Linked DNA regions of Diceros bicornis minor. The protein of the gene in region 1 interacts with the protein of each later gene in a biochemical or structural test. Links are inferred from orthologs where the notes say so. Each region holds a gene or a part of one and is shown on either strand. Other genes may lie near its edges.

Region 1 (6,955 bases):
CCTATAATCATCAACTCTATTCATTATTTGGTCTCCCAAGGCCAATAACTGAAGATTTTAACCCAATATACAAAGACTATCAAGTATTAGCCAGTATGAAAACACAAAGTAAGAGAAAAATATCAGATACTTTTTTTTAATGCTGAGTACATTTTGGATGTTTGAGACATCACAATATTTCACTGAACAAAATATTTGACTTTTAACAGGATGTGGCTATTTAAAGAAAGAAAACATTTGCAGAAGAAAATACTGATGTTTTGAGGCCCTAAGTTTTAACTGAGCAATTTATTTGCAGTACCATACTGCCTGTCCAATCTCACTGCTTTTCATGTATAGAATAAAGTCTACCTACTTAGTCTTTTTCATCCAAAACTATCATTTATCATTTCATTTGTGACAATCATAGATCACACAAAAATCAAGCTATAGTAGAGAACTCTTTTCTATTACCAAAACTTACTAAACCTTGGTAAAGGTTTTATCTGAAGGCAAAAATATTCTGGGCTTCTTGTTCTAGTTAGTTAAAAGTTTCCAGAAAATCAATCTCTTTTGGAAACTGATTTTTCTCAAGCAATGCAACATAAGTTGATCCTATTACTTTGCAAGTAGGTATGGAAAGATGATCTTTCCTTTTGGAGGAGAGACACAGAACAGCTCCACTAACAAGTCAACTACTTCAAAACTTAGGGTGTATGGCAGTCTCAGATGCTGCCTTCATAAATGTCAACAGACCAGCCATTTTTACTAGATACAATAATAGATCTCTAGAATTTTACCTAGAGCCTTCTCCTATTTTTTCAAATATTTGCCACTTTGAGGTGCACATTTTATGATCTGAATCAAATCAACTTGTCTTTTCTTTACTTCATGAAATGAAAACTCAAGATGATCTAAATATTCTTAATATTGTATACTGACACTACAGAAATCAGAAACAAAGCTGATTACTTGTTTACACTAGGAGTGCAAAAAAGAAAAGGTAGCTTAAAAAAAGATACATTACTTGTAAATTTCTCAGACTAGCTAAAGCAAAAGGCAGGCTCAAAAATGAATCAAAGTGCCCAACACAACTGCAAAATAGGTTTTGGCATTGCATAGTCAGGATTCTTGGTGTATAAAGTTAGGACTAATATAGAAAACATGCCCTACTTCTCTCCTCCCTGTGCAATTTTCTCAGTTACAAGTTACATTACAAGCACTACCAACTTGGTTCTACCAATGACAGGAGAGCTGTCCTCACTACTAGCCTGGTTCTAAAATTTACAAAACAGTCTTTAAAAAGATCTCTAACGAAATAAAATCAGAGTAAGGATCACATAACAAAATGTTAAAATAAATGACTTAAAAACTTATTTCAGTATTTAAAGGAACTATGTAACAACTCCAAATACTTAATATTTTCAGAAACTATTCCAAAAGTTTCGCAAACATGTTAAATACAATATGGCTACAGCAAAGATTAGACAAATCCGAACCCAGTGCCAGAAACCAAGCCTCCAGCTTTCAGATTGAAAAGCTGTCCGCCCTACCTGAGGCGGTTAGATTCTTGGGGACAGAGGCCAATATCTTAGCAGCAAGTTAGGCCTCTTTCTCCCTCCGGGAAGCGCATGACAAACAGGGCGTCATGCAATTTATGTCACCCGGTCACTTAGCAAAAATAGCTAACTTCTGAACTTGGGTCCAGGTGGCCTTCTATACTCAAAAGAAATAGAGAGCAGCGAAGTATTGGGAGAGACGTGGGCTTAAAATGCCCCCCTTTCTAACCCTATAAACATTTAGCCCATCATTAGATCTGAGTCCTAGATTCTAAGACTTGCTTTAATGGAGGCCTCCCTCAACCTCCTCGGAGTCTCTGTTTTGCCACAGTGAAGGAACTTTTCCTGCTTTATCTCCGTTCCCTGTGAGCATGCGGCCCTGCCAATTCAATATCCTAAACCGGCAGGGAACGGTGGAGGAGGGAAGGGGAGAAATCCACGGCCAAAACAGCCCTCTTATGAAAGACAAAAAAAAAAATCTTAATTCCTCCTCCGCCCATAGCAAAACCCATCGCAGAAATTTACAGCGCGTTAAGAAAGGCAGCACTGCGAACTGCAAACGTAAGAGTTTTCCTTTGACTCCACGCACGGTTTTCAGCTGTCAAATTACAACTCAGGAAAACACTATCATTAGAATAAAAAAGGAAACAAAAAAGCTCGCACCACAGGGGCTGGGAGCAGGAGCTGCCAGCACCGTTTCGGAAGAAGGAGAGCAAAGGGAATCCAATCCACTTACCCACCCCCGCCTGAATTCAACCCCTCCCCAGGCTGGCAAACCTCACTGCAGGGGCTCAAATTTAATAATAATAACAATAATCATGGCGCTTCCTCCCTCCCCCCACCCCCACCGCGATCTGCCGGGAATCAGCCTCCCCCCTCCCCCGGGATCTCCAGGCTTGGCTGGTCCAGACCACCCGACCGGACACAGCTCCCGGGGGCCCGGGCGAGCCGAGCCTACCCCAGGGCCCCTCGCCCCGCTTCTCCTCTTCCCTCTCTTTTTACCTCCACCATCCCCCATCCGCATTGTCTGTCTCAATTCAACTTTGACTAATATGGATTCCTCGGGCCTGGGCCGGGCGGTAATTACAGCCCGCCCCCCCGGGAGCCGGATCCCCCCCCATCTCCGCGGAGTTCAACGCGGCTCCTCGGAGGGGGACGGGGGGGGGGGGAGGTTGCAGCGCGCTTTCCCGTCTACACCGCGCTCCCCCCGCGGCCCCGGGCCCCCAGGACCAGAAGTTTGCCCCGGAAGGGGCCTAGCCAGGGGCAATGTGGACCCCCCGGCCGGCCGGCCGGCGCGTAAACACGGGCGCCTGCCCCGGCGCGGCCCCGTGGGGGAGGGGAGGGCGGGGAGGCGCCCCTCCCCCCGCCCGCCCGCCCGCCGGCCCCATTACCTGTCATTGAGCTGGTCCTCGGTGCCCGGCAGCGGGTGAACCACGAAATGGATGGACGTCATGGTGCTTCCTTCTCGTCCTCTCCTCGAGGACGGCCCCCTCCCGCTCTCGCCCGCCCCCCCCAAACCCCCTTCCCCTCCCAAAACCCACAGCCGCCGCCGCCGCCTCCCAGTCCCCAAATGGAGGGAAGCAAATGCGCAGGGGCCGCCGCCACCTCCCTGCCGGGCGTGTGTCCGCGGCCCCGCGGTCCGGCGGGGCGGGCGGATCAACACGCCACCCGCTCCCCCGGCGACAGCGCGCAGGAGTGCAAGGCCGGCGGCCGGGACACGGGGCGCGCCGCCGCCAGCGGCAGCCGGGCGTCGGGAGAGGGGGCGACTGGGAGGGCGGAGAGGGGCGGGCTGCGGGGACGGTGTGGTCCCGGCGGCGGACGGGGTCCGGACTAGGGAGGTGGGGAGAGATGAGCCCGCACCGCGCGTCACTGGCGAGAAGCCGCCGCCGCCGCCGCCAGCACCGCCGCCGCCATCTTCACTTCTGCCCCAGTTTCTCCGTCTCGCAGGCTCCGCTCCCGAGCGGCGGGGGAGGGGCGAACGGGAGGAGGAGGAGGAGGAGGAGGAGGAGGAGGGAGGAGACCGGCGGGCGGGGGCTCGGCTGCGAGGGGGCGGGGCTCCGGGAAACGGGCGGTAAGGCCCTTCCGATTGGGCGGCTCAACGTTGTCGGGCCACGACGCTGTAAGACGCGCGCGGATTGGTCCGCTCGGCCCCCGAGCCCGGCCCCCGGGAGGTGGGATGTCTCCCGAGTGAGTGTTCCGGAGAGCACGTGTTAGGGAAGGAGGAGGCGCAGGGGCGAGCCCGCCGGCGGGGAGGGAGTCCGGGAGGAGGCTGAGAGTGTGTCCCCGGGGAAGTGGGAAGCAAAAGGGGCTCCCGCGTCCGTCCTCTCTCTGATTTCCCTGAGGCAGCCCTAATTATTTTGCAGACCCTTAGGGGTTTTTTGTTGTTGTTTCTCGTCCTTGATCCGCAATTATATTTAAAGTGGCAGTGTAAAATCGGTGAAAGGGCAAGAAATACACAGCCTTTTATTGGAGAAGTAAGGTAGTTATATAAGGACCTTTCCAGAAAGTCCTATCGTAGGATCATAAAGCTGACTTTGCAGCAACTTCTTGATCACCCTAGTCTCCCCGATTTCTCCACCACCACCATCACATACCGGCACAAAGACAAAATGTGGAAATTTCCACCGATTTCCTGATGTAAATGATTCATGATTTTTTGTTTTTACTACTTTTAAAAGAAAGATGATATATCACTTTTACAAAGGCGTTCTTCAACTTAGGATCAGTGGGATCGTAAAGGCAAATTCTTGAATGGATCTATCTGCTTTTTTCTAGGGAACCAGCTCCTAGCTTTTTTCTCAAAGGCTTCTATGACTCCTTCAAAAAATCAAGTACTTCTTTCAAGACAAAAAGTGAAAACATGAAGCTTCTTCTCCAGCCTGTGTGGATGTTCGTTAAATCGGGGGTCCTGTGAAACGGTCTTAACGTTAAGTACCACTTTTCTTCTGTTAATGCATTATATACACACAAACTTTTGCTTAGGACGTTCCTTTGAGCAAAATATATGAAAATTTATTTATAAATCAGGATAGAGTAGGTACCCCTTGAGACAGATAACGGAACACTTTTGTAGGTCACCAGCTCCAAAATTGGCCCAGATTAGTTTAGACTAAAAAGTGATTTCAAGGCCGCTATTTATTAGAAGTCCACGCCAGCCATGGGGAAGCAGGGTAGATCAATGGACACTGCTAGTTTTAGAGCCATACAGACCTGGGTTTGTGTCCTGTTCCTGCTGCTTTGCTTTGTGACCTTGATTAAATTATTTAACCTATCGTAGTGTCTTTTCTCAATTGTAAGATATTTCATAGTAGTAGATCTACATAGGGTTGTGGTGAAGTCTACATAAGATAATGTATGCCAAGCACCTGGAGCACTTCATAACACTTAGTAGGCTCAGAAAATGGAAGTTTTTATTTGTCAAGTGCTCACTATGTAACACTTTATACACATGTCTTTTAATGCTCAAATCACACTATGGGGTAAATAATATCATCCCCATTATGAGGATGAGGATACTGAGGCTCGACACCTTAGGTAAGTGCTGAAGCTGAGACTTAAACCCAGGTCATCTAACTCTGATTCCATTGCTCTTTCCACTATAGCACAGCTGCCATCTAGTTAATAATTTAGAAGGAACAGACTGTTCAAAGCCAATAGGAAAAATGTGATATGATAAATGCAATAAGAGTGCCATGGAAGTTAAAGGAGGAAGCGATTGCAGCCAAGAGAATTAAGAAAAGTCATTTAAGCTGAGCTTTCAAGAATGTCCTGGGCAAATAGAGTATCTGGCTTAAACCTAGTCATTTTTAGATTTGCCCCTAAACAAACTCCACACCATACCCATACTTGCTTCATTACTCTTTCTTCCAAATCTGTCTTTCTTCATCTTTTCATTATGCTTCCACCCTGCTTCCAACTTGATTTACCCACTCCTAGTTTCCTGGAACAGAGACTTTCCCTCCTGGTTGAAGGCTGGTCCCCTGCCTCCAGGCAGCCCATTCAAACTGCCCAGTTGGTTTTTGACTGACAACCATCTTGGCATTGCAACCTTTTTGTTGTCCCAGGCTGGCGTGTTAGGGAGAATTTTCCTCTCCCAGGGCCCCAAAACTTTGGTGGGTCACACTTTGAACAAGGAAAAACAAGAATAAAGGCATGGAGTTGTGCAAGCCCATCACATGGATGGAGGAGGGGGGAATACAAGTAGGGAATGGTGATAAGCAGGGTTCAAGCAGAAGCTGTTTGAAGAGTCAAAGTGGAATACTCGCCTAGAAAAGATGGCTGAGGGGCCTCTTTTCTAATAATTTGGACTAATTCTCCCTTTGAGAACAGCTAGAAATGTTAGACAAAATATTTCTTTAAGTCTGCTTAAAAGCAGAAGAATGTTAACAAAATGATGAATTACCAAACCAGGATCCAAAGGATGAATAAGACCCAAAGAAGTGAGTCCTGGTTTGTGTTTGGAGCCACTTTTTCCGCTGGGATAAGCGCCAATTCCAGAAAGAGGGAGAAGCCAAGAGGCTAAGCAGTTCTTCTGACAAGCACTGAGGGCTAAGACAACAGGGATTGATGTCCAAGCTCCCCCAATGCAGTGGGGAGTGCTAATGACCTCTCTTACTTTGTGCTGAGCCCTGAAGGACTGCACCCCTGAAAAAGGTCATGTCTTTAGATTTGGTTTCCCCCAAAACAGACCTGGAAACAAGGATTTGGCTATAAATAGTTTATTTAGGAAGTGATTGCAGGAAGCACTGTGTGGGGATGGAGAAATGAGACAGGGAAGGGAGAAAACCCAATAAAAGATGGGCTGAAGAATGTTTTACCACTGTGGGCAACTGGAATTCAATCCCACTGGGGACCATCTGAGAGACTGTGTGGGACACACCTCAGAGTTATTGCCACTGAGCGGGGAGCAAGCAAGCTGGAGGTATTTATCCATCAACCCATCCCTTGGGTTGTTAACTCCCTGACACATCAAGCTTTCCTCACTTGTGGGCAAAGCACATTTCTACAGCTAAAGAATAGCCTCAAGAATGAAAGAAAAATAAAGACATTCACAAAAAGAAAAAGAAATGTGAGACATTCTTAGCAGGCACCCCATACTAAAGGGTATTTTTCAGGCAAAAGGAAAATAATTCCCCAGTGTAAGTTCAGAAAGGCATAAAAGGAAGAAGCCGAATGAAAAGGGAAAATACGTAGGTATATGAATGTTGGTTGACTAAAACAATGGGGCTTAAAAATCCAAGACACTAACAACACCAAATGCTCGCAAGGATGTAGAGCGACAAGAAGTCTCATCCATTGTTGGTGGGAATGCAAAATGGTGCAGCCACTTGAGAAGAAGTTTGGTGGTTTCTTACAAAACAAAACATACTCTTAACATATGATCCAGCAATCATGCTTCTTGGTATTTACCCAAAGGA
Region 2 (7,045 bases), on another chromosome or scaffold:
TTAGTACATTCACGATATTATGCAACCACCGCCTCTATCTAGTTCCAGAACATTTTCATCACCCCCAAAGGAGAACCCCTACCCATTAAGCTGGATTAACATAATCTTTTAAGGACCCTTTCAATTATATGATTCTATGGCTCCAAAATAGAAACTTGACTCATTCAACTCTGTAAAAACGAAAAACCCTTCCAGACTGCAAAGACATTAAGTTTACCCCATAAATGTAGAACATCTAAATATTTGTCCCTCACAAACATAGTTGGGGCGGATGCCCAGGATTGCCCAGGCAAATTATTCCATGCCAGATCATTGCACATCTGAACAGTGTTTTCCTGCTGTTGGAAGCTTCCACAGCTGTGCCAGTCGGGTGCCATGGAGCACCTTCCCTGGCAGTGCAAACCAACCCCAGGGTTGGTTTGCACACACACCTTTGGCTCCAAGACAAGACATGAGATTTACACTGTTAGTTTCTTATCACCTTCTAGAAATTACTGTCCTTTTTTTTTCTTTACCAGGTAAGGGTCATGCTTTCCTGTGAATTCAGATCTGAATGGAGGGGCATTTTTGTGGGCACTCCCTGGGTGGAATGAGCCTATGCTGTTGCCCCCATCAGTGATGGGGTAAAGTAGGGAGGTCATGATCTTGCGGATAAGAGCCTTAGCTTGGGAAAATGGCATATTTGCTCTCTCTGGGTCTCAGCAGTTTCACTCCTCCAATGACAGAATTGGTTGTGGATTTCCAGTGTTGTCTGGCTGTGGAATTCCTTGTTCAAACAAAGATCCAATATGGAAGCCTAATGTGCACAGCAGGTGAGGTCAAAAGTGCTGTGCAAGGGAGGGCTCTGAGCACGTCTCACTTGGCCTTTCCTCCTCCTCAGAGGAGGCTCAGAGGAATCCCCCCAGATCCCTCGGAGCACAGAGCGGAGGCCACGGACTTGGACTCTGCAGGAACTGCAGACGCTGGCGTTGGTCTTTGGAACTTCTGATTTTTATTGGCCTCCAATAACCAAGAAACGCCAATGTTTATCACAAACGGTCCTCGGAATCCTCCGTGAGACCCCGCCCAAGTTCATGGCTTTGTTTTCCTTGGCTCACCTGGAACGCAGGTGCCCCACCCCATGCCTCGCCTGCTCACACCTGTCGAGCCTCGGCAGGCCCTGCCCACGTTTCCGTGCTGCCTCTTCGCCTGCTCCGTCCCGCACGGGCATCTGAAGGCTTTCCAAAGTCACTCACTCCCTCCTCAGAGCCCAGAGGACACCCACCCTGCAGCTTCAAAACGAAACGCGCACAGACCCTCAGGGAGGCGTTGTGAAGAAGTTACTTTTAGGTTTGAAACTATTTTTTTCAGTGTCTGGTCTTTCTCCTTCTTTCAACAGAGCAGTTTTGTATCTGGGCTCAGCTTTTTATGTTTTTTAAAAGGCAAGCAGCCTTGCCCCTTAGGACATCTGTGCTCAAGTGGCTGCCCCTCCAGGTCCCCAAGGAAACCAACGGTGGGTGGGTGGTGGGTACGTACCTGGTTTTGAGCCCTTCTCACAACCAAGCCTGTGCGTGAATGGGGAGACGCCGATGTCTCCAGCCAGCCCCTTGAAAATATTGCTCAATGAGTCCCCTTTGGGGCCAGGAGCCTCTGAGGACAGGGACAGACTGGGGCCCTAGGGCATCATCAACTGTGGGACAAGGGAACTTTGTCCATCCTTTTCTGTGTCCTCAAAACACTAGCTCCTCTCTGCATCACTTGTTCCTTCGAGAAAACTCGGTACTTGAAGGTAAATCTGAAGCCCAATGTTTGCTTGTTAACGTTTTGACAAGGGACAGTTGCAAAGGCATAATCCCATCCTTCCCTGAGTGAATGTGGGTGATTCAACACCTGGGTGCGGGGCGCTGGTGACTCACCTCGCCTACGTCTTAACTAGCTGGTTCTCTCCCGGAAGACTCCCAACACAAACACCTTGAATTTATGGGTAGCGTTTAACACTGCAAATAAGTTCTGGTTTCTCATTTCTGTTTCCAATCTACATGCTTTTTGAGGGGATCAAACCCGTCACAGTTTTATCAGCAAAATGGGAATCTCCACCCATCTGGTGAGATGAACTGCACTGGTACAAATGTCTGGTTGTGTATTTGAATGGCTAATTTCACTGATGTCTGATGCTAAGACAGTGTCCCTCAGCAGCTGAGCATTATGCGGTGGTGGAATTTAGACACCACGCAAATTTAGGTATGGCTGACAGCACCACTAAAATGAATTCCAGTGACCTAGGTAGGAAATAATTTAAAACTAAACAAAAACTTTTCATATGGTGTTTACACTGAAAGATTGAGTTGGTTGAATAAGAATCTGAATGAATGAGACACAGCAATGAGTTGATAATTTTGGTGGCAGTTGGTGACATGTGTAACCTCACATGGCAGTGGGGACGAAGCCATACAGGGGACTCCTCTAAATACTCGTGGTCTGAGCCTGCCATTCCCAATGCCTCATATTTGCCACAGCTCCTGACAGACACAGTCACAGAAGTATCTCTGCGCACACCCCGCGGGGGAGGCAGGCAAGCCCCATCCCGCCTCGTCGGAGGGAGAGGGCTCCCACTGAGCCGTTGGGCTGGCTGTGGGGAGTCAGGGCCTGACCCCGTTCTCCTGACTTCTCACCCAGTTCTCTCGAAATGCCAGCAAGCAGGTTGCAAAGCAAATTCTTTGCAGCTGTTATAAAGGTCTCATTGCTCAAGTGTAAACTAGCAAAACCACCAAGCCTCCTCCATTCCCCAGATGCTCAAACTTGGAAGGGCAGCAAAAAGTGATAGTCGACTCCAGGAGTAACTGTACCCAGCCCAAAACTACTTGGAGAATCCATGGAAGGTTCCAGAAAAGGCAATGGCTCCTCACAAGGGACAGTTTGGTATGGAGCTCCAGAGCCCAGCTTGCTCGTGTTCCGGTCCTCCCTCTGCCACCCACCAGCCAGGTAGCTGGGATTAGCCACTCGGCCTCTCTGTGCCTCAGTATCACTGTCTGTACATAGGGTTGTTCGTGGGCTCCACCTCAGAGGGTGGCAATGTTGCAAAGCACTTAGAACACTGCTCGGCATTTACTTTTTCAGAGCCTGCTCTGTGCCAGGCCCTGTACACACAAAGGTGAACGAAATAGGCCCAAATCTCTGTCCTCAGGGAGTTTATATTTGGGGTGGGGGTGGGGGCACGCAGTGGACACTCAATAAGGTTATTAGCCCCCAATTAGGTCAGAGCTTTCCTAAGAATCTCCGCGTTGGCCCACATTCAGGTGCGTTCTTCCCACGGGCCTTTGACTGTGGGGTGACACCTCACCACTGCAGTGTTTTGAGGACCAGCAGCCGTCAGCACACACAGCGTGCTGCCAGCAACCCTTCATTTCCAGGAGTTGTCCCACCAGCCTGTGCATGATCCCACCTGCCTGTCAATGGAAGGGCAATGAGTTTTGCATCAGCAGGGAGCCGGGTCAAAGTTTAGTCAATCAGAAGTTGCATAAGGACTTGCGATGGCTGGTCTCCGGATCAGCGGCCTCCCAGCATTCATTAACAACTATCTGTTCAATGATTATCTCCCTGGGGTTTATTGTGGAGAGCTGGTCCAAAGCACAACTGACCGTGGCTGTGATCCAAAGACCTGCCCCTGACGTCAGAGACGAGCCTCCCTGGGCACAGCCGAAGGGCAGGCCTTCCTCCTCCCCCGGATTTAAGGCCAGGAAGCTGGGCCACCCACTACAAACAGGCCCTACCCCTGGGAACGCACGCTCGCCGGCGAGAGGAACCCCTGAGGAAACCCTGGGATCTCTGATCAAGATCATCCCCGAGAAGAGAGGTAAGGTAGAGCCTTTTCACTTACATTTACATTGCAGCGATGACACTGTGATCGTTTTCTTTTTCCTTAGAGCTACGACCATCTGGCGATGTGCAACCCAAACAAAGCACGTGGAGTTTGTTTGAGGGAGTCTGTGGCTGTTTTTATTCAGGAAGCCTGTGCTTTCCATTTCAGGGAAGCTTGGCATCCGGGCCCCTTGACACAACCCTGCAGAGATGCCTCCTCAGCACCAAAAACGCCTCAACTTTTCAGCCAAAGTGGTCCAGGGCACCCTGGACAGCCTGCCCCAGGCGGTGAGGGAGTTCGTGGAGAGCAGCGCCAAGCTCTGCCAGCCTGACCAGATCCACATCTGCGACGGCTCCGAGGAGGAGAGCCGGCAGCTTCTGTGCCACATGGAGGACCAGGGCGTGATCAAGAGGCTGAAAAAGTATGACAACTGGTAAGTGCGGCCTCGGCCCTGGGCTCACGCCTTCCCCTCCGCCAGCTTGGTGTCGCTGGAAAGACCCGCGCGAAGCCCTCTCCAGGGGTTGAGACTCTTGAACAACGTAACAAACAGCCAGAACCGTATAGACTGACGACACTCGCAGAGCAGCCTGTCTTCGAGGAGACGGCACATGCAAATGCTCTCTGCAAACTAGGTCTCTGATAAAAATGAGAGCCAGACAGTCCCTGTCCTAAAGACTAGCTAACGGTGGGTGACTGTGTCCTGACTATGTCCCGGTGGGTGTGGGTGTCCACAGGTATGAGAAGAACACGATAATGAATAAGACTGTCCATTCTTAAATGATGCCTGGCCGAGGGAATCCAGCACGCAGATGCAATGCAGAACAGCAGCACCTCCCTCTCCATGCCTAACCTGTGTATTTTTTATTTTTGCAGCTGGCTGGCTCTCACTGACCCCAGGGATGTGGCCAGAATTGAAAGCAAGACAGTCATTATTACCCAAGAGCAAAGAGATACGGTGCCCATCCCCAAAAGTGGCCTCAGCCAACTGGGTCGCTGGATGTCGGAGGAGGACTTTGAGAAAGCATTCAATGCCCGATTTCCTGGGTGCATGAAAGGTGAATCAAACATTTATTTGATGGGGCAAAACCAAATAGAAGCGAAAGCAAACCTTTTCTTATTATGTCTGTCCTAATTGTAAGAGTAATGGCAACTCCCATGGCCTCAGAGACCTTTAAATTCCATGTGTGAAACTGGCAATGTATTAAGAATGTACATCTCAGTTCCGGTTTTACAGACTGTCTTATAGGAACATGAAAACGATTTCTGTGCCTGCAGATTTGAGATGGCTTGGTGGACTCCAACTGCACATTTAAGAAAATTCATTTTGGCATTCGCTCACTTTCCAGGGGACTCTTCTAAATCAGGGGGCTGAGAGCAAGCGAAGTGTGACGTTGCTAGTAGGAGACGATGAGAATGGGTCCACCTGGGAAAACAGTGTTGGCTGTTGTGAGTCTGGGGTCATATCTCACCAGTTCCCACCGACTGGCCCCGCAGGTCGCACCATGTATGTCATCCCCTTCAGCATGGGGCCCCTGGGCTCGCCTCTGTCAAAGATCGGTGTCCAGCTGACAGACTCGCCCTATGTGGTGGCCAGCATGCGCATCATGACGCGAATGGGCACACCTGTCCTGGAAGCACTGGGCGATGGGGAATTCGTCAAGTGTCTCCATTCCGTGGGGTGCCCTTTGCCTTTAAATAGTAAGTGTGTTATTTCAAAATCAAAAGCTAAAATTTTAAAAAGTAAGCCTAGCCTTAAACCCCAGGCCTGTGCTCCTGGGGTCCCCAGGCGGGGACGTGGTGTGTTAATGTGGGATGTGTCCTCCTGTGCAGAGCCTTTGGTTAACAACTGGGCCTGTAACCCAGAGCTGACCCTCATCGCCCACCTGCCCGACCGCAGAGAAATCATCTCCTTCGGGAGTGGGTACGGCGGGAACTCGCTCCTCGGGAAGAAGTGCTTTGCCCTCAGGATGGCCAGCCGGCTGGCCAAGGAGGAGGGGTGGCTGGCAGAGCACATGCTGGTAAGATGCAGGAAATCCTACATGTGCCTGGTAGAGGGTCTGGGGGCTGAGGCAGGGTGGTGGCAAATATATATGGCATTGTAGTTCCCATTAGGAGAGCCCCAATATGCTCCAAGGACAGATTCGGAAATTCCATCAATAATTATTAATGCGCTAATGGATGCCCCTTTTGAAGGACCTCAGACACCGTGGAACCAATAGAGATCCTCTGGACTTCATTACTCAAAATGCTCACTTTAATACCAAGAAATAGATCTTGGGAACCTACCTGTTGGGTTCTAGACACACTCCTAGACTGAAGGACTGACCACTGGTGGGGAAAGGAATGAAGAGCTTCAGGAGGAATCTTGTCTCCAACAGATCCTGGGCATAACCAACCCCGAGGGCCAGAAGAAGTACTTCGTGGCAGCCTTTCCCAGTGCCTGCGGGAAGACCAACCTGGCCATGATGAACCCCACTCTCCCAGGGTGGAAAATAGAGTGTGTGGGTGACGACATCGCCTGGATGAAATTTGACCAACAAGGTGACTGCTTTAGGCCCAGCTATTGACAGCAATAATTGAACCTAAGAGATTTTTTGGCTTTCAAAACATGCCAAGTTCTCCTAAATCCACAGTGTTTGGATTTTTAATTCAGTTATTTCAGACAGATCTTGCAAAACCTTAGAAATATGTATTCTGTAAGTGTTCTCTAATTTAATATTGAATCTGGATTGAAATGAGGCCATATGTTATTATTGTTTGTTTACATAATAAATTTGTTAAACTAGTATTGGTGGAAAACTGATGAGGAAGAAAGAGTTGAAAAAGCATCCAAGTTGAATATAATAAGAAAGGAGAAATATATTCTAGGGAGGAGGGAAAAAAAGATTTGAGAATTTGGTACAAAAATTAGCCAGGCAGGATGTAAGAATATATGTTATGCTTTGCTTGGCATTCACTTCTGCTTCTCTGGTCTAAAACTTTCCAGGTAACTTAAGGGCTATCAACCCAGAAAATGGTTTTTTTGGTGTCGCTCCTGGAACCTCTGTGAAGACGAACCCCAACGCCATCAAGACCATCCAGAAGAACACCATCTTCACCAACGTGGCTGAGACCAGTGATGGGGGCGTTTACTGGGAAGGCATCGACCAGCCACTGGCCTCGGGTATCAGGCTTACTTCGTGGAAGAACAAGGAGTGGACCCCCGAG
Region 3 (7,706 bases), on another chromosome or scaffold:
AGTATACAACTGATTTTTTTCTTTCTGGGAGAGTCGCCCTGAGCTAACATCCGTTTGCAATCTTCCTCTTTTTTTTTTTTTCCCCCCTCCCCAAAGCCCCAGTACATAGTTGCATATTCTAGTTGTAGGTCCTTCTGGTTCTATGTAAGCTGCGGCCATTGCACGGCTACTGACCTATGAGTGGGGTGGTTCCACGCCAGGGGACCGAACCTACGCCGCTGAAGTGTAATGCCAGACTTTAACCATGAGGCCATCAGGGCTGGCTCCGATTGATTAAAATGACTATATTAACATAATTATTAAATTAATATTTTTAGCCCTAGCCTTTCTTTGAACTTAGTAGTTCTAGCCTTAGAAAGTTTTATAATTTCCACAGAATTTAAGAACTCTGTAAAGCCAGATGTACAGTAGGGAATAGGAAAATTAGGTGAAAATGAAAGGCAATCTATTAGGTGTAGTAGACAAAAGTTGATGAACATATGCCCACCCCAATAGCATATGTAAATTTAGGATGAAAAACTGGCATTAGATACAGGTTAAGTAACCTTTCAACCATGATATCATTGTGCTTCATACATGGTAGCATTGATGAGGTATTGATTCTATGGACCTGATCCAAATAGGATATACCAAGAGCAGCGGGAATGTCCTTTTGATTAGGACAAAATACTCAAGTTTCAGTCATTGCACCTGCCTATCAAAAGCCAGACTAATTCCTATTTGCTCAACTTTGCCAGAGTTGTTAAATCAGTGGCTTCTAATGGGCTATTTGACTCACCCTTTTGCAAAAATCTTCACCTATTCCACATCTACACCTTATTTTCTAAATCCTGCTCGTCCTGCCTACTCAACCTATACAAATTTGGTACACCTTTTAAGTCAGACTAATTTTTAAAAAAATACACAAGATTTACCATCTTAACCATTTTTAAGTGTACAGTTCAGTGGCATTAAATACATTAGTAATGTGCCACTATCACCACCATCCATCTCCAGGACTCTTCATCTTACAAAACTGCAACTCTGTACCTATTATACAATAACACTCCTTTCTCCCCTCCCTCTAGCTCCTCACAACTATCATTACAATTTCTTTATGATTTTGACTACCTCATATAAATGGAATCATACAGTCTCTTTGTGACTTATTTCACTTAACAATGTACTCTAGTTTCATCCATGATGTAGCATATTGCAGGATTTCCTTCTTAAAGGCTGAATAATACTCCATTGTATATACTTCAATGTATATACCACATTTTACTTATCTATTCATCCATTGATGGACACTTGAGTTGCTTGTCCATTTTACCTGTTGTCAATAATGCTGCTATAAACATTGGTGTACAAATATCTCTCCGAGACCCTGCTTTCAATTCTTTTGGGTATATACCCAGAAGTGGAATTACTGAATCATATGGTAATTTTACATTTCCACCAACAGTGCACAAGTGTTTCAATTTCTCCACATCTTGCCAACACTTGTTATTTTTTGTTTATTTGATAGTAGCCATCCTAATGGGTGTGAGGTGGTATCTCATTAAGCTTCACTAAAACAACTTTTCTGGGAAACGATCATGCCAGTTACTGCCTTGTAGGCATTCAAAGTTTGTTAGATAAGGGCTGGCCCTGTGGCTTAGCGGTTAAGTGTGCGTGCTCCGCTTCTGGCAGCCCGGGTTCAGATCCCAGGCGCGCACCGGCGCATCACTTCTCCAGCCATGCCGAGGCCGCGTCCCACATACAGCAACTAGAAGGATGTGCAACTATGACATACAACTATCTACTGGGGCTTTGGGGGAAAAAATAAATTGTTTAAAAAAAAAAAGTTTGTTGGATGATGCTTTGTCTCACCTGAAGTGTAAACATTTAGAGCAGGGGCCACTGCTTACCCCCACAATTCTAGGCCTTTACTCAACACACAATAATGCTTCCACATGATACAAATGAGCATAGGCACAAGGCCATTACCAAACAACTATAGGAACATATGTTAGATTTTATTCGAGGTGTGATTTTTTTTTCCTGTTTATAAATTCAATTCAGGCTTTCATAGAGAATTCAGACAATATAAAAATGTATACAGAAGACAGTAAATCTTCTTAAATCTGACCACCTAGAGATATTGCTATTATAGATATTGCTATTCTACCAGATATTTGCATTTATACCCACGCATGCCTATGTCTACATATATAATTTTAGAGGCTTATTTTTTGCAGCATGCTTAAAAAAAAAAGACATAAGTATAATTCCATAACAATGAATATACATCTTTTTAATAACTAATGTTTTATTCTGTTATACCATAATTCATTTAACCAATTCCCTATTGATAGGCTTTTAGGTTTTTTTGATTGATTATAACATAGCTATGAATATCCTTACATGTTTTTACATATGTCCAATTTATTTGGGCAGATTCCTATACATGGAACGTTTGAATCAGAAGACTGACACATTTTACATTTTGATAAAACTCACGCCTATAGGAAGATGGTAGAGTCGGAGCTTAGTTGCAGCCATCCTGGGCCTTCATTATCATCCTCTCTCCTGTGATTCCTACTTCAACCTCCATCTCAAATTAGGATTGTTACTAATCTGAACCAAACAGATGAATTTCTGCAGTATTTGTAAACTGTGGACCTCTGCTAGTCCCATTGAAGTGTTTGTCCTCATCATTGGCAAACTTGTCCCACCTTTGCTCTTCTGAAAGTGTTTTCCACTCATACCATCACCACCACCATCCAGGCATAGCATGAACATAATGAACCCCATTTTGGAAGTGAGCAGAGGGTCCGTGGAAGGAGATATCCAGAGGATATCTTTAAGCTTTCTCAACTACAATGGCGAACTCATCCTGTGAGCTGGGAGTTGAAATCTTAACCCGTTTGGGTGGGGAAAAACAACATAAGCCTTTGAATGGTTCAGATTAAAATAAACCAGGGGCTGGCCCCGTGGCGTAGTAGTTAAGCTCACACGCTCTGCTTTGGCGGCCCAGGGTTCGCAGGTCTCGATCCCGGGCGTGGACCTACACACCGCTTACCAAGCCATGCTGTGGCAGGTGTCCCACATATAAAGTAGAGGAGGATGGGCACGGATGTTAGCCCAGGGCCAATCTTCCTCAGCAAAAAGAGGATTGGCAATAAATGTTAGCTCAGGGCTAAAAAAAATAAAAAAATAAACCAGGATTTATCAAAGATTTTTCAATATTACCAATATAATCAATTAAGTGGTTTGTGTTGCTAAGTAACAAGTTCAGTTCATCTCATGATTAGCTGCTAAGAATGTCAGGGTCAACTACACATTATCTAAACTCCTATTTTTATTGTGTTCTCCTCCTGTCCTGTTCATGCCTCTTCCAGCCTCAGGTTGATAGCTTATCTTCCAGGTTCCTTGGATGAATCATACTCCACAGACCTGTAAGACAGCACCATCTCCTTCCAGAGCTGTTTGCTCAGCAGACAACAAAGCCAAACCCTTCCTCCCAGTTTAGGATACATATCTGCAAATGTGGCCAAAGTGGTTGACCAGAGCCTATGGCAGAACAACTGTGCTCTTCATTTCTTTGGGGTTTTGGACTGACCCAAAGCAGACCTTCAATGAATGAAATGGCCCTAAAGAAGAGTAGCCCTATTTTGGATTCAGGCCTTCCCATGGAGGGAAACTTTTTTTTTTTTTGGAGTTTTAGTAGATATTATTAAAAGCATGTGGTTTTTTAGGGATTCAAATTTTGCAAGAGAGTAAAAAGGTAAATCTCGGTCCCTCATTTTCCTTGTCCAGAGGGAAGAAATTAATAGTTTTTGTGTCCCCTTTCAAAAATAGTGCATACATATTCAAACATCCAAATTTTTTTACACATACTATACACTGCACCTTGATTAGTATCACTAAAAATATACATTGGGGCTTGCCAATGATGACAGCAAGGAAGCATGGATTAGAGCAATGTATGGGGTACAGTGCATCCAGGTTCATAGACTAGGAAATTCTTGGACCTTGAGGTCTCACCGTATCCTATCTCTGAACAGGGTGTTTCCTCTCTTAGCCACAAAGAAGTTTCCATAGACTGCCTGCGAACCATAAACTCATAATTTTCGTCCATGTGTAAAGGTCTAGCTTCAAAAAGTGTGTGCCTGAACGTGTCTGAGTGCAGGTGCTTGGAGATCAGTTAGTATGCCTCTGTGAACGTCTTAGTTTGTTTCTGTGTTTATTCTTTCTGCGTCAGAATTTCTGGATGTGACTTGGTGCGTGTCACTGTTAGTGTGCAATGTGTATTACGTTTGGTGTGTCTGGGTGTGTGAGTGCGCTGTCGTTATCTAGATGTTCCTATTTGGTGTCGCTACGTTTGAAGTAACTGTTTCGGTCTGTAAACGTCTAAGTTTGTGTATCCTCTCAGGGTCGTCTTCGCTCCCCAGTTCCCCTACTCGCTGCTTCCCACCATTCTTGAAGGATGGTCGGGTGTGGGGACACTGGCCCGACCCCACTCAGGACTCCCAGCATACCACACCACGGCCACCAGGGTACGTAGGAAAGGCCGACGCGCACGCACACGCGTGCAGCCTAGGAGACGAAGATAAATTTGGGGTGGCGCGTTCTCTCGCGCGCTCTCTAGTGGTCTCAGAGGGCAGCGCAGACAGAACGAGAGGGCGGGGCCGACGGCGGCGGAAGTGAAATCACTTCCGGGCTAGGGTGTTTGTTTGGACTGGAGAAGGGAGGCGGCGGGCGAAGCGCGCGTCGAGCGGGGGAGCGGCGCTGCCTGTGGAGACCCGCGGAGGCCGACCGGATTCGTTGGCTGCCGTCCCCGCTGCCGTGCACTGGGTGAGGGATTCCCTCGGGCGGAGCGGCCAGAAGGGTGCGGCGGCCCCGGCGGTCGAGGGACAGCACCTCGACGACGGCTGAGGGGCCTAGCGGGTCCCCCGGGTTGTTGGCCACCAAGCCCCGTATGGCCTCCGGTGTTCCTTACCCCTTTCAGCCAAGTCTGAAGGATGAGCTTGGACCGACTTCGTCTCTTTCTTCTCTGAGACATGGCCGTCGCTCTTTTTTCTCATTGTCATTATTATTTATGATTTGGATCTCGCAGCTCTCTATCCGGGTCCTCGGTGGCGCGCGAGGGTTGCCGGGAGAGCACTTTCTCGCGTCTCCCCCTCCCTCCAGTCCCTTCACTCCTCCCCACCGGCGGGTACCCTTTTCCCCCTGCCCCCCACCGCCGCCCGGGCAACAAAGCTCATTGTTTCTCCCCACTTTACGCCTGCGCGTCGCCACGCGCAGCGCCTACTTGCCGCGCGTGCGCGCTCCTCCCGAAGCAGGGGTGGAGGAAGAGAAAGGGGCGGAGGGACTGGCGGGCTGGCGAGCGTACGAGGGGAGGGTTCTGCAACGGTCCACGGGCCTGTACCTTTCAGATCCCCTTTCTCCATCTTCTTCGCCTACCCCTTATTTTTAGTTGTATTGTATACCATGCTCTGGATAGGAGGGCCTTGAGGGTACTGGGAACCCCTACTCCAGGAAGTTTTTGAGCCAGATGAATTTTAAGGGCCCATCGAATTCACATTCTTTGATTCTGGTACTCCTAATCTTTCTCTGTGCTTACGCCCCACCACCACCAAAAATATATGATTTGTGGTGAAGTCTGTGTTTCAAAACTGTTGAAGCAGCCAGCAGTGGTGTTTTCTAGTGACTCCAAAAAGGGATCTTTGCTTCTTTTTGTTGTCTTGTTTTCCCTGATTTTGAAGCCCCATCGCCTCACAGAATCCGCACCCTCTGGAAAGAATTTAGCTTCCAGTTTGTCGTGGGAGAAGGTCTTACAGCTGACAGCTTTTGACGTTTATTTCGACAGAAGACAAATTTCCATTTTGTTTGTGCTGGCTAATCTTGTCTTGAACCCTGGTGGCATGATTTTTCACAAACTGCATTTGAGCAGTTGATCAGGTGTTGGTTTGCACTTTCATTAAATAGCCTTTGGAATTTCATATGCTGCAGGTTATGTTTGCAGATAAGAAAAGGGTCTCGATAAGGATTGTTAATGAGATTCCCCATGTTTGCTGTTTTGTGCTTGTTTCCGGTTTGAGAGAGAGGATATTTGGGGCAAATTAGCATGTTTATGCCACTTGTTAATTGTGAACTTGAACGGAACTTAATTTTTTCTCGCAAATAAGTGTCTATGACAAATAAAGATAGATAATTGTCCAAAAATTATAGCCTATTTGTTTCTTTAAGGGTTGGGAGTTAGGCAATGGAGATTCACTGTAATGGTTAAAGGCTTGGGAGCTGGGATGTTTTTATTATAGTGTATTGCATATTGCTCCTTAAGAGTTCAAATTGAGGTGGATAATCTCCACCCTGTTTGGGACAGAGCAAGTTTATAGTAGGCTTCTCCTTAAGTAAGCACTCTGCATCTTATGCAAGTTTATTTCTTTATGACTATAGAGAGTGATGCTCCAGTTTTAATGAAAATGTAAACATTTATAAAATGTCCACTGTTAGCACAGCTATTCATGGGTATTGTGGGAGATGAAAGAAAGTGGAAAATAAGGCCCCTGCCTCCCTTCCTTTTGTGCTTTTCCATATTGTAATTTATGAACTGTTTTCATATTCATTATAATAACATGAAATAGGCAGAGCAAGTTTTATATCGCCCATTTTGAAATTGAGGAAATAGAAGCTTGAGAGATTATTTTATTAGGCACATACGTCTATAGCATTTAGTAATTCCAGGTATTGTAAATGCTTTTACAAGTGTTTAATCTTCACTATCTCTAGGGAGTAAGTACTACTGTAAAATGAAGATAACAAATGAGAGATGTTAAATAACGTGCTCAGTGTTACACAGCTAGTAAGAGCTGGAATTCAAATCCGAGTAGTCCAGAGATTATGTGCTTTTAAGCATTGTACCGTGCTGTCTGTGATTTAACGATATATGCAGGGTCTTGTGGGTGGTTTGTGGCGTATCTGGGATTCCAACCCAGTCCGAGGTTAAAGTTGTCCAAGTTATTGCCTTTGTGATCAGGACCATCCTGTGGCACAGGTGCATTAACATTTGATACAGCCCAAGGTTCGGTTCCAGTTAACTCAATCTTTTTCTTAATTTGCTCATTGTTTAGAGAGGTGCTGTCCAATAAGGTAGCTACTAAGCACATGAGTCTGTCGAGCACTTGAAATATGGCAAGTGCGACTGAGGAACTAAATTTTTAATTGTATTGAATTTTAATTAGTTTAAATAGCCACATGTAGCTAGTGGCTACCACATTGGATGGTGTAGGTTTAGAGGTTTGAATTGCCCCTTCTTTTCTTTTCTTTTTTTTTTCTGAGGAAGATCAGCCCTAAGCTAATATCCATGCTAATCCTCCTCCTTTTGCTGAGGAAGACCCGCTCTGAGCTAACATCTATTGCCAATCCTCCTCCTTTTTCTTTTTTCCCCCAAAGCCCCAGCAGGTAGCTGTACGTCATAGTTGTACATCCTTCTAGTTGCTGTATGTGGGACACGGCCTCAGCATGGCCGGAGAAGCCGTGTGTCAGTGCGCGCCCAGGATCCGAACCCGGGCCTCCAGTAGTAGAGCACGCGCACTTAACCGCTAAGCCACGGGGCCAGCCCCCCCCTTATGTTTTTGTATCAGTTTTTATAAATAAGGATGGTGTTGCTGTGTGCTTTGAGCTTTTATCAGTAGAGATGATAGGCAGGGCTGAGCCATCTTTGTTATACTACAGTTGAG
Region 4 (7,275 bases), on another chromosome or scaffold:
TACTCTCTACAACTACCCTACAAGAAGAAATACTGTTATTCACATGCTACAGATGAGAGAAAAAAGAGGTTGAGAGTGGTTACAGTGGGACCAGAATTCGACCCCAGGACTGACTCCAGAGCCCTCACTCTGTACCACCATAATTGAGGAGTCAGGGGAAGCCTTTAGCACAGTGCCAGGGACTCAGTAGGCACCCAATAAATGTCATGATTGATGTGGCAAGTATTAAGATGACTTTTTAAGAAGCTTCCATCTTCCCACCCTATCCACAGCCGCTCAAGCCTCAATGCCAAGCCCCATGACAGCCTTGACCTGAACTGTGAAAGCCGGGACTTCGTGGCTGCCATCATCAGTATCCCTACCCCTCCTGCCAACACCCCAAATGAGAGCCAACCTTCCTCCCCTGGTGGTGGCGGCGGGGCCAGCAGCACCCTCAGGAACTCCAGCCTGGGTACCCCTTGCCTCCTCCCTGAGACTGTCAAGATCTCTTCCCTGTGAGGGGCGGCCCCGCCCATCCAGAGAGCCCTCTTGATTCTTGGGGACTCCTTTCCAAAGCCATATTTTGGAGAGGCAGAGAGGGGCAGGCCTGGGGACCCCTTCTGCCCCCCACTGAGAACTATGCAATGGAGTTTCATGGAATGGCCTACCTAGTGGGGAAGTAGCCAGGGAATGGGAAACTTCCCCCAGCCCAGACAGTTTTCCTTGTGGGAGCTGAAGAGCTGGGCTTCCTCGCGCCCCTGGCCTCCTTGCCCCAGCACACTGGGACTGGCCCCTCTTCCTGAGCTGGCCTCCTGCATGCTCCTCCCCTCGGGCCGTTGGGCTCCCACCTGACATCTGAGCTCGGCGTAAGAAGGAGAGATGAGACTTCCTCTTCTCTCTGGCCGGGCTGTGGAGGTTTGGAGGTTCAGAGAAAAGAACTCTCACTTCTGATCTGGCCTTTAGGAGAGGTCCCCACCCTCCACCAGGCCCAATAACTCCCAGATTCTGAAGCTTGGAATGCAACCACAGGCTTCATGAGCTGTGCCTCAGCAGTGACCTGCCACCCCCAGACCTTGGCTCAGGGGTCAGGCTGCCTCTCCCAACACACACAGATAGCACAAACACCACCCACCTTCCCTGGCTGCTGGAAATGGGTCCCCACAACCCCGTCCTCTGCTGGGCCCCCAGCCAACTCTAGCAATAGCAGTTGCTGCCATGACATTATGCAAAGCCTTTGCCCAGTTTGCTGCAGCATTTACATCTGCCCTAATCAGAGGGGCCACCTCTAACTACTCCTCCTTCTCTCTTCTCTGGTTTGCTCCCTTCCTGGGTTGGGCTGGAGTCTGGACTGGCTGAGATAAGACCTGGCAGCTAGCAAGAGCAGGGCTGTGTTTGGAGATCACGGGCTAATTCCATGTTCTTGGGCAGGAGTCCAGAAGCATCAGGGCTGGGGCCTGGGTTGTTCCTGAACTCTGGGAGTTCTAGGAGGCAGGAGGAACTTATTGATCTCCTCCTCCCACAATGCTTTTTCACATATTCCTCTTTCTTCTCCCTTTTGGGTCACCTTCCAGAACTCTGTGTCTGCTCTCAGGCTGAAATCTGGCATCATCTCAGGTTCCCTGTCCCCAGCACTGTCCCTGTGGAGTTGGAGGCTGACAAAGATGTAGTTTCCATCAGTCAATAAAATCTGAGAGGAGAGATGAGGCTGAGCACCTCCTGGCTTTGTGGGTTTGGGGGCTGGATTGGGCTAGGGGGTTAACAATACTATGATTTCAAAGTATTGCTGGAGAAGGGCTGGTTGTGGGTAAAGGTATGGGAGGTGGATGGTTGGTGACGTGTTCTGGAAGATGGGAATCTAGGAGAAATGAAAGAGGGTGGTTTGAAGAGTTGAATCTACAGCCAGCAAGGCAGGCTAGGAGGTCGTGAGACATGCCCCTTGAACTTCATCTGCTCCAGCTCCCTCACTCACAGATGGGGGAACTGAGACCCAGAGCAGCACACGCTTGATTAGAGGAGACTTAAACCGAGGCTTCCTGACATCAAACAGCTCTGAATTGAACCCTAATGAAAAGCATCTCTCAGTTTGGCAAATTCCCCTTCCTTGTGGATGTCTCCTACATTCTCTCTTCTGAGCTCCCGGGTACACTAGGCTAGTGTGTGACTGAGCTCTGTGGAGCACTGAGAAGACAGACCTTGGATTCAGGTCGACCTGGGTTCCAATCCCTGCGTGAGAAAATTACTTCTGTTGCCTCAGGTTGCTAATCTGCGAAATAATCATTCATTTATTCACCAAGTATTAACTTCATATCATGTGCTAGCCCTAGGGAGACAAAGATGGGCAAAGAAGACATCATCTCTCATCTACAGAGGTGAGCATGGAAGGCAGGCAATTAAGCGATTACAATACAGTACAGTAGAACTAAGATGGATAGATTATAGAAGCATGTAGATGGCAGGAGAACCTAATCTGGCCGACACATGAAGAATGAGTTGGAGTTAGCCAGGCAAAAGACAAAAGTATGAAAATGTATCAGGCAGAGAGAACAGCATGTGCAATGAATGAGCTGGAAGGTTAGAGAGTGAGCTCAGGGCCTTTGGGGAACTGAAATTAGTTCAGTACAGCTGGGGAGGAGAGTGTGAGGCTGTGAGGAGGGTGAAGATGCAGAGGTAGGCCAGATCATAAAAGGCCTTTGAAGCTATGATACAGGTTTTAGACTTCATACTAAGAATGATAGGGACCTCTGAAGGCTTATAGACAGGAAAGTCACTCTCAGGTTTGTGTTTCAGAAGGATCATTCTGTCTGTGGAGAGCGGATTATAGAGAAACAGTCCCAGAGGGAGGACGAGCAGTGAGGAGGCTTTTGCAGAAGTCCAGTTGAAAGGTGATGGTGGCTTGGATCAGGTAGTGGCAGTAAGAGTTGGAGAGTCAAGAGATTTGAGAGATAGAATGGGCAGAATTTGGGATTGACAGGCATGCAGGAGTTAAGAAAGAGGAAACAGTCAAGGTTGACTTCTTGGTTTCTGGCTTGGGGAAAGGCTGGATTGGGGTGCCATTCACTGTCAAAGGGAACATCAAAGCTGTTAGTGCACAGTGCCAGCCACATAGTAAGTACTCGGTGAAGGTTAGCTACAATTCTTATCATAAGTTCAGGTTTAGATATGTAGTGCTGACCAAATATCCAGTAGGGAGTGGGATGTATGGGTCAAGTGAGATGGTCATGAGAAGATTCCATGTGATAATGTGCATAGGCATTTGGCACAGTGCCCTGAACACAATAGGCCCAGTAAACGTGAGTCCTCTCCTCTCATTGTCTCAAGAGCAGAAAACACCACAACAGTCCGTTTATTACTGACATCCTTCAGGGAAGAACTTCAACTAGGGTCAGCATCTGAAGCGAGGTTAGGTCGCACTCAGAAGGGCTTTCTGATGGTCTCACTGTCAACCTCTTGTATGGCTCGGCTCCTAAGACTGGTAGTGAGCCCTCACCTCTCACAACACCTTCTCGGTTCATGAGCTTATTGAACCTCATAACTACTCTCTGAGGGAGTCTGGGCAGGCATTATCACTCCCGTTTTACACATGGCTAACCCCAAATTTGAGACACAATGACTTGCTCGAGGTCATACAGTTGGTAAGGGTCCATCCGTGCCTGGAACTGAAGCCTGGAACTGGACTCTTCCTGACTCCAAAGCCTGAGATCCATTCCATTGTACCGTCACGCAGACTAATTTATTGAGCATTTACTACGTGCCAAGTACAGCACCAAGCCCATTACAAGCATTCATCTCTGATCATTAAAATGGAATTATCATTGCCAGTTTACAGAGAAGTAGAATTTGAGGATGGAGGGTGTTAAATGACTTGCCGGAGATCACTCAGACAGGAAGGTCAGAGCTAAGATTAGCTTGTAGCTCTCCAGTAGCTCAGTAGCAGGGATTTTACCAACCCCATTGCGAGACGCTGGCCAGTGACAGACCTGGTTCATAGACTTCTCGATCCAGGTAAACTCAGTTTCAGAAAAAAAGGCTGCGCTACGCCTGCGCACTAGCTACAGGGGCGGGGAGGTCAACCCGAGGGCGAGAATGCGGTGGTGCCAAAGTGGGCGTGTCTGTTTCCCAAACACCACGGTGCATGTCTGTCCCATGGTTGGCCTTCCGACTTGAATGACGGCCTCTCTTAACCAATCATCGCAGAATTCAGCCTGTTGCCAGGGTGAAGCGGCGCCCTCCTCTCCGTCGGATGTGGATTTGCCGGTGGGTGGGACCGGAACTGACGCTTCAGGGGATTGCTATGCTCTGGGAGTGTTGATATTCTCGTCAGTCCGGCTGACTGCAGCCAAGTTAGAAGCCTGGTAGGGAGGTACTTTTAAAATTATCTTGCGTGGGGCAGGCTACGCTGTCCTGTCGCAGTACTCCTGCCTGCGAGTCAGAGCCTCGGAGAGAGAAGTAAAGAGCGGACACGGCCGACAAGAAGGCAAGGAACGAGGGTGCCGACTTGACTGAAATTTGAGACGGAGGGCACGGGAGGGCGAGCGATCATCTCTGATTGGCCTGTGGGCGTCATCGAAGACCCACGCAGCTGCTTCGATTGGTTGCTGCCCGCAATTGTTGTGGCGGCGGCGAAGATTTTGCCCACGTACTTCCGCACGAGAGGCGGGGCTGTGCCCTGGCGCGCGTGCGCAGCGTCCCGGGGCCCCACCCGGTAGTTCAAGAACCTGCGAGGGGGCGGGGCGAAGAGGTGCTTGTTTTGGTTCTGTTTCCTTTGAAGCAGAAGGCCGGAGCGAGCGTAGCAGTAAACTTGCTGGACTTGAAGAGAAGGCTACGACAAACTCGCCGGGGTGCCTTCAGCTTGGACTTCACATCCGGGTTCTCCTGCCGCGTGACCCGCGCGCCGCCGAGAGTTCTCGAACCGGTGCCTCAATCTCTTTATCCGGGTCCCGCCGATCCCATCGTGCTTCGCGCACCACAGTAGCCCCCTCATCCGGGTTCTCTCCCGGCGTGCCCCGCGCCGGGTTTGCTGGGGGGTACTCGGCGGTGCCGCCATGACTATTCTCCCCAAAAAGAAGCCGCCGCCTCCCGACTCTGACCCCGCTAACGAGCCGTCGCCGCCCGGGCCGCTGCCCCCGGCGCCGCGCCGCGGCGGGGGTGTGGGCGTGGGCGGCGGCGGCACGGGCGTGGGCGGTGGCGACCGCGACCGTGACTCGGGCGTTGTGGGGGCCCGTTCCCGGGCCTCGCCACCGCCTCAGGGTCCGCTACCGGGGCCACCGGGTGCGCTTCACCGCTGGGCGCTGGCCGTGCCGCCAGGCGCTGTGGCAGGCCCGCGGCCACAGCAGGCCTCTCCTCCTCCTTGCGGGGGCCCAGGCGGACCCGGCGGCGGTGCCGGTGACGCGCTGGGCGCAGCGGCGGCGGGTGTGGGCGCGGCGGGCGTGGTGGTGGGCGTGGGCGGTGGTGTAGGCGTGGGCAGCTGCTGCTCTGGGCCGGGTCACAGCAAACGGCGGCGTCAAGCGCCTGGGGTTGGCGCGGTTGGCGGGGGCAGTCCCGAGCGTGAGGAGGTCGGCGCAGGTTACAACAGCGAGGATGAGTATGAAGCAGCTGCAGCACGCATCGAGGCCATGGATCCTGCCACCGTCGAGCAGGTATGGGCTGGGGGTGGCAGGTGAGTGAGTCTGGTCGATGGGATCCCCGGGCTGGGTAGGGACCCGAGGAAGGTTTTTGAGATCGGCCCAAGGGCCCTAACATCTTTTCCCGGAGCTTGGCGTTCTTTTCTCTGGTGGTAGGGGTGTGAGACACCCTCTTCCTCCTCTCAAGAACTTGGTGTTAGAGGCCCCAGATGAGATGGAGGACTTAAAGATGAGGTCTGTGGTTACTTTGAGGACTCATGGTCGTCATTTCCGGCCCTGGGACCTCATCATGTAGGGCCAATAGGTGGGAACTCCCCAGGAGACACAGGCAGGATGGAATGCTTTCTGAGAAGGGTGTCTCCTGATTCTCCAAGGAACTTTGGTCTGTGTTCAGTGGCTTGAGATTTCTTTTTCTCTGGGATAAGAGTCTAAGACTCCGTCTTCAGGGAACACAAGTGAGGTGGAGACTTCAGAGATGTCTGAGTGTCCCCAAGATACCTAAATCCTTTCGGGAGTCTGAGACACTATATAGGACAGATCTCCTCTACCTTCTTCTCAGGGGAACACAGTGCAGGACCACTCAGTGATGGGGTCTGAGACCTCCTCAAGGGTCCTAAGCCTGCCTTCAAGGGCCTGAGACTCCCTCTTCTAGAATCATGGGCCTGACACACACATATATGTCTTCTTTAGAGAGAGGGATCTTCTGAGCTTTTCTCCAGGTATATAAGACTTCTTTCAGGGAGATAAGATTTCCTTCCCATTGGGGACAAGGGTCAAAACACCCAGGGACCAGAAACTCTACTAGGGCATATGAAACTCATCTCCTTTCTAAGTGACAAGGGTCTATGCTTCCTCTCAGTGGTCTGAGACGTTCTTGGGGACCAGAGTGAATCTCTCTTAAGCTTCTGTTAAGCATTAGACTTTCAGCTTCCTCCCTGCCCTGAGCCTTGCTTCAAGAAAGTGAGACTCACTGTTTTGGATACTGGAGCCTAAGATCCTCCTGCTTATGGACTGGGGCTTTCAGAGACTGGGTCTGAAGCCTCTTCAGGAGACTGATACCCCTCCGCAGGTCCCAGGCAAGGTGAGGTCTTTAGGGGACCTTTCTCCTCAGGAGCTAGTGTCTGAGTGTTCTTCTTAGGAATCTGAGACCCCCCCCTTCACACACACACACAGGGATGTGAGATCCTTCTAGCCCAATTATGAAGGACTGAAACACACCTTGGGGACATAACAGCCCCCTCTTCCCCTATAATAGGCATCTGAGCACACACTCCCCACACGTAACGGCGTGAGCTTCTTGTCAGGGACGTAAGATCCCTGCCTTGGGAACTCGGGACTGAGACCACTCTTCAGGGGACATGGGAAGCATGGAGTCCCAGAGATTTAGTCTGAGGCCTCACCATGGATCTAAGCCTGCCTTCAAGGGCCTGGGACCCAGTGTGCTAAGGACGCTTGCACTTTCTTTCAAGGACAGGAGACCCTTATATACCCCAGTGACTAGTGTGTCTCTAGAGATGAGGTCTGAGCTTCCCCCTCAAGGAACTTAAGGTACCCCTCAGGAACAGGAAAACTCTCCCCACCAGAATGGAGCCCTGAGACCCTTCCCTTGGGGCATGGATACAGAGTCCCTGGAGAATAGTGTCCTGAATCTCCCCTCAAGAGTTTACACTTTCCC

Evidence for each region.
Region 2: the proteins of UBR5 (region 1) and PCK1 form a complex in vitro, tested with the Homo sapiens proteins (2 studies listed by BioGRID, with this or other methods). The link is inferred for Diceros bicornis minor from reciprocal best matches to the Homo sapiens genes UBR5 and PCK1.
Region 3: the proteins of UBR5 (region 1) and PAIP2 form a complex in vitro, tested with the Homo sapiens proteins (2 studies listed by BioGRID and IntAct, with this or other methods). The link is inferred for Diceros bicornis minor from reciprocal best matches to the Homo sapiens genes UBR5 and PAIP2.
Region 4: the proteins of UBR5 (region 1) and OTUD5 form a complex in vitro, tested with the Homo sapiens proteins (2 studies listed by BioGRID, with this or other methods). The link is inferred for Diceros bicornis minor from reciprocal best matches to the Homo sapiens genes UBR5 and OTUD5.

Annotation. Positions count from the first base shown.
Region 1 is NC_080760.1:20,706,943-20,713,897, forward strand, and holds the start of UBR5 (E3 ubiquitin-protein ligase UBR5), read right to left. Parts: upstream 3,022-6,955; 5' UTR 2,992-3,021; coding exon 2,930-2,991; intron 1-2,929. UniProt on the Homo sapiens protein: E3 ubiquitin-protein ligase involved in different protein quality control pathways in the cytoplasm and nucleus. Mainly acts as a ubiquitin chain elongator that extends pre-ubiquitinated substrates.
Region 2 is NC_080758.1:5,975,182-5,982,226, reverse strand, and holds the start of PCK1 (phosphoenolpyruvate carboxykinase, cytosolic [GTP]), read left to right. Parts: upstream 1-4,027; 5' UTR 4,028-4,047; coding exon 4,048-4,271; intron 4,272-4,711; coding exon 4,712-4,893; intron 4,894-5,332; coding exon 5,333-5,536; intron 5,537-5,668; coding exon 5,669-5,856; intron 5,857-6,216; coding exon 6,217-6,379; intron 6,380-6,824; coding exon 6,825-7,045. UniProt on the Homo sapiens protein: Cytosolic phosphoenolpyruvate carboxykinase that catalyzes the reversible decarboxylation and phosphorylation of oxaloacetate (OAA) and acts as the rate-limiting enzyme in gluconeogenesis.
Region 3 is NC_080740.1:57,744,185-57,751,890, forward strand, and holds the start of PAIP2 (polyadenylate-binding protein-interacting protein 2), read left to right. Parts: upstream 1-4,704; 5' UTR 4,705-4,818; intron 4,819-7,706. UniProt on the Homo sapiens protein: Acts as a repressor in the regulation of translation initiation of poly(A)-containing mRNAs. Its inhibitory activity on translation is mediated via its action on PABPC1.
Region 4 is NC_080781.1:42,207,480-42,214,754, reverse strand, and holds the start of OTUD5 (OTU domain-containing protein 5), read left to right. Parts: upstream 1-4,265; 5' UTR 4,266-5,021; coding exon 5,022-5,615; intron 5,616-7,275. Other genes in the region: KCND1 (potassium voltage-gated channel subfamily D member 1), read left to right, coding at 273-498. UniProt on the Homo sapiens protein: Deubiquitinating enzyme that functions as a negative regulator of the innate immune system. Has peptidase activity towards 'Lys-48'- and 'Lys-63'-linked polyubiquitin chains. Can also cleave 'Lys-11'-linked ubiquitin chains (in vitro).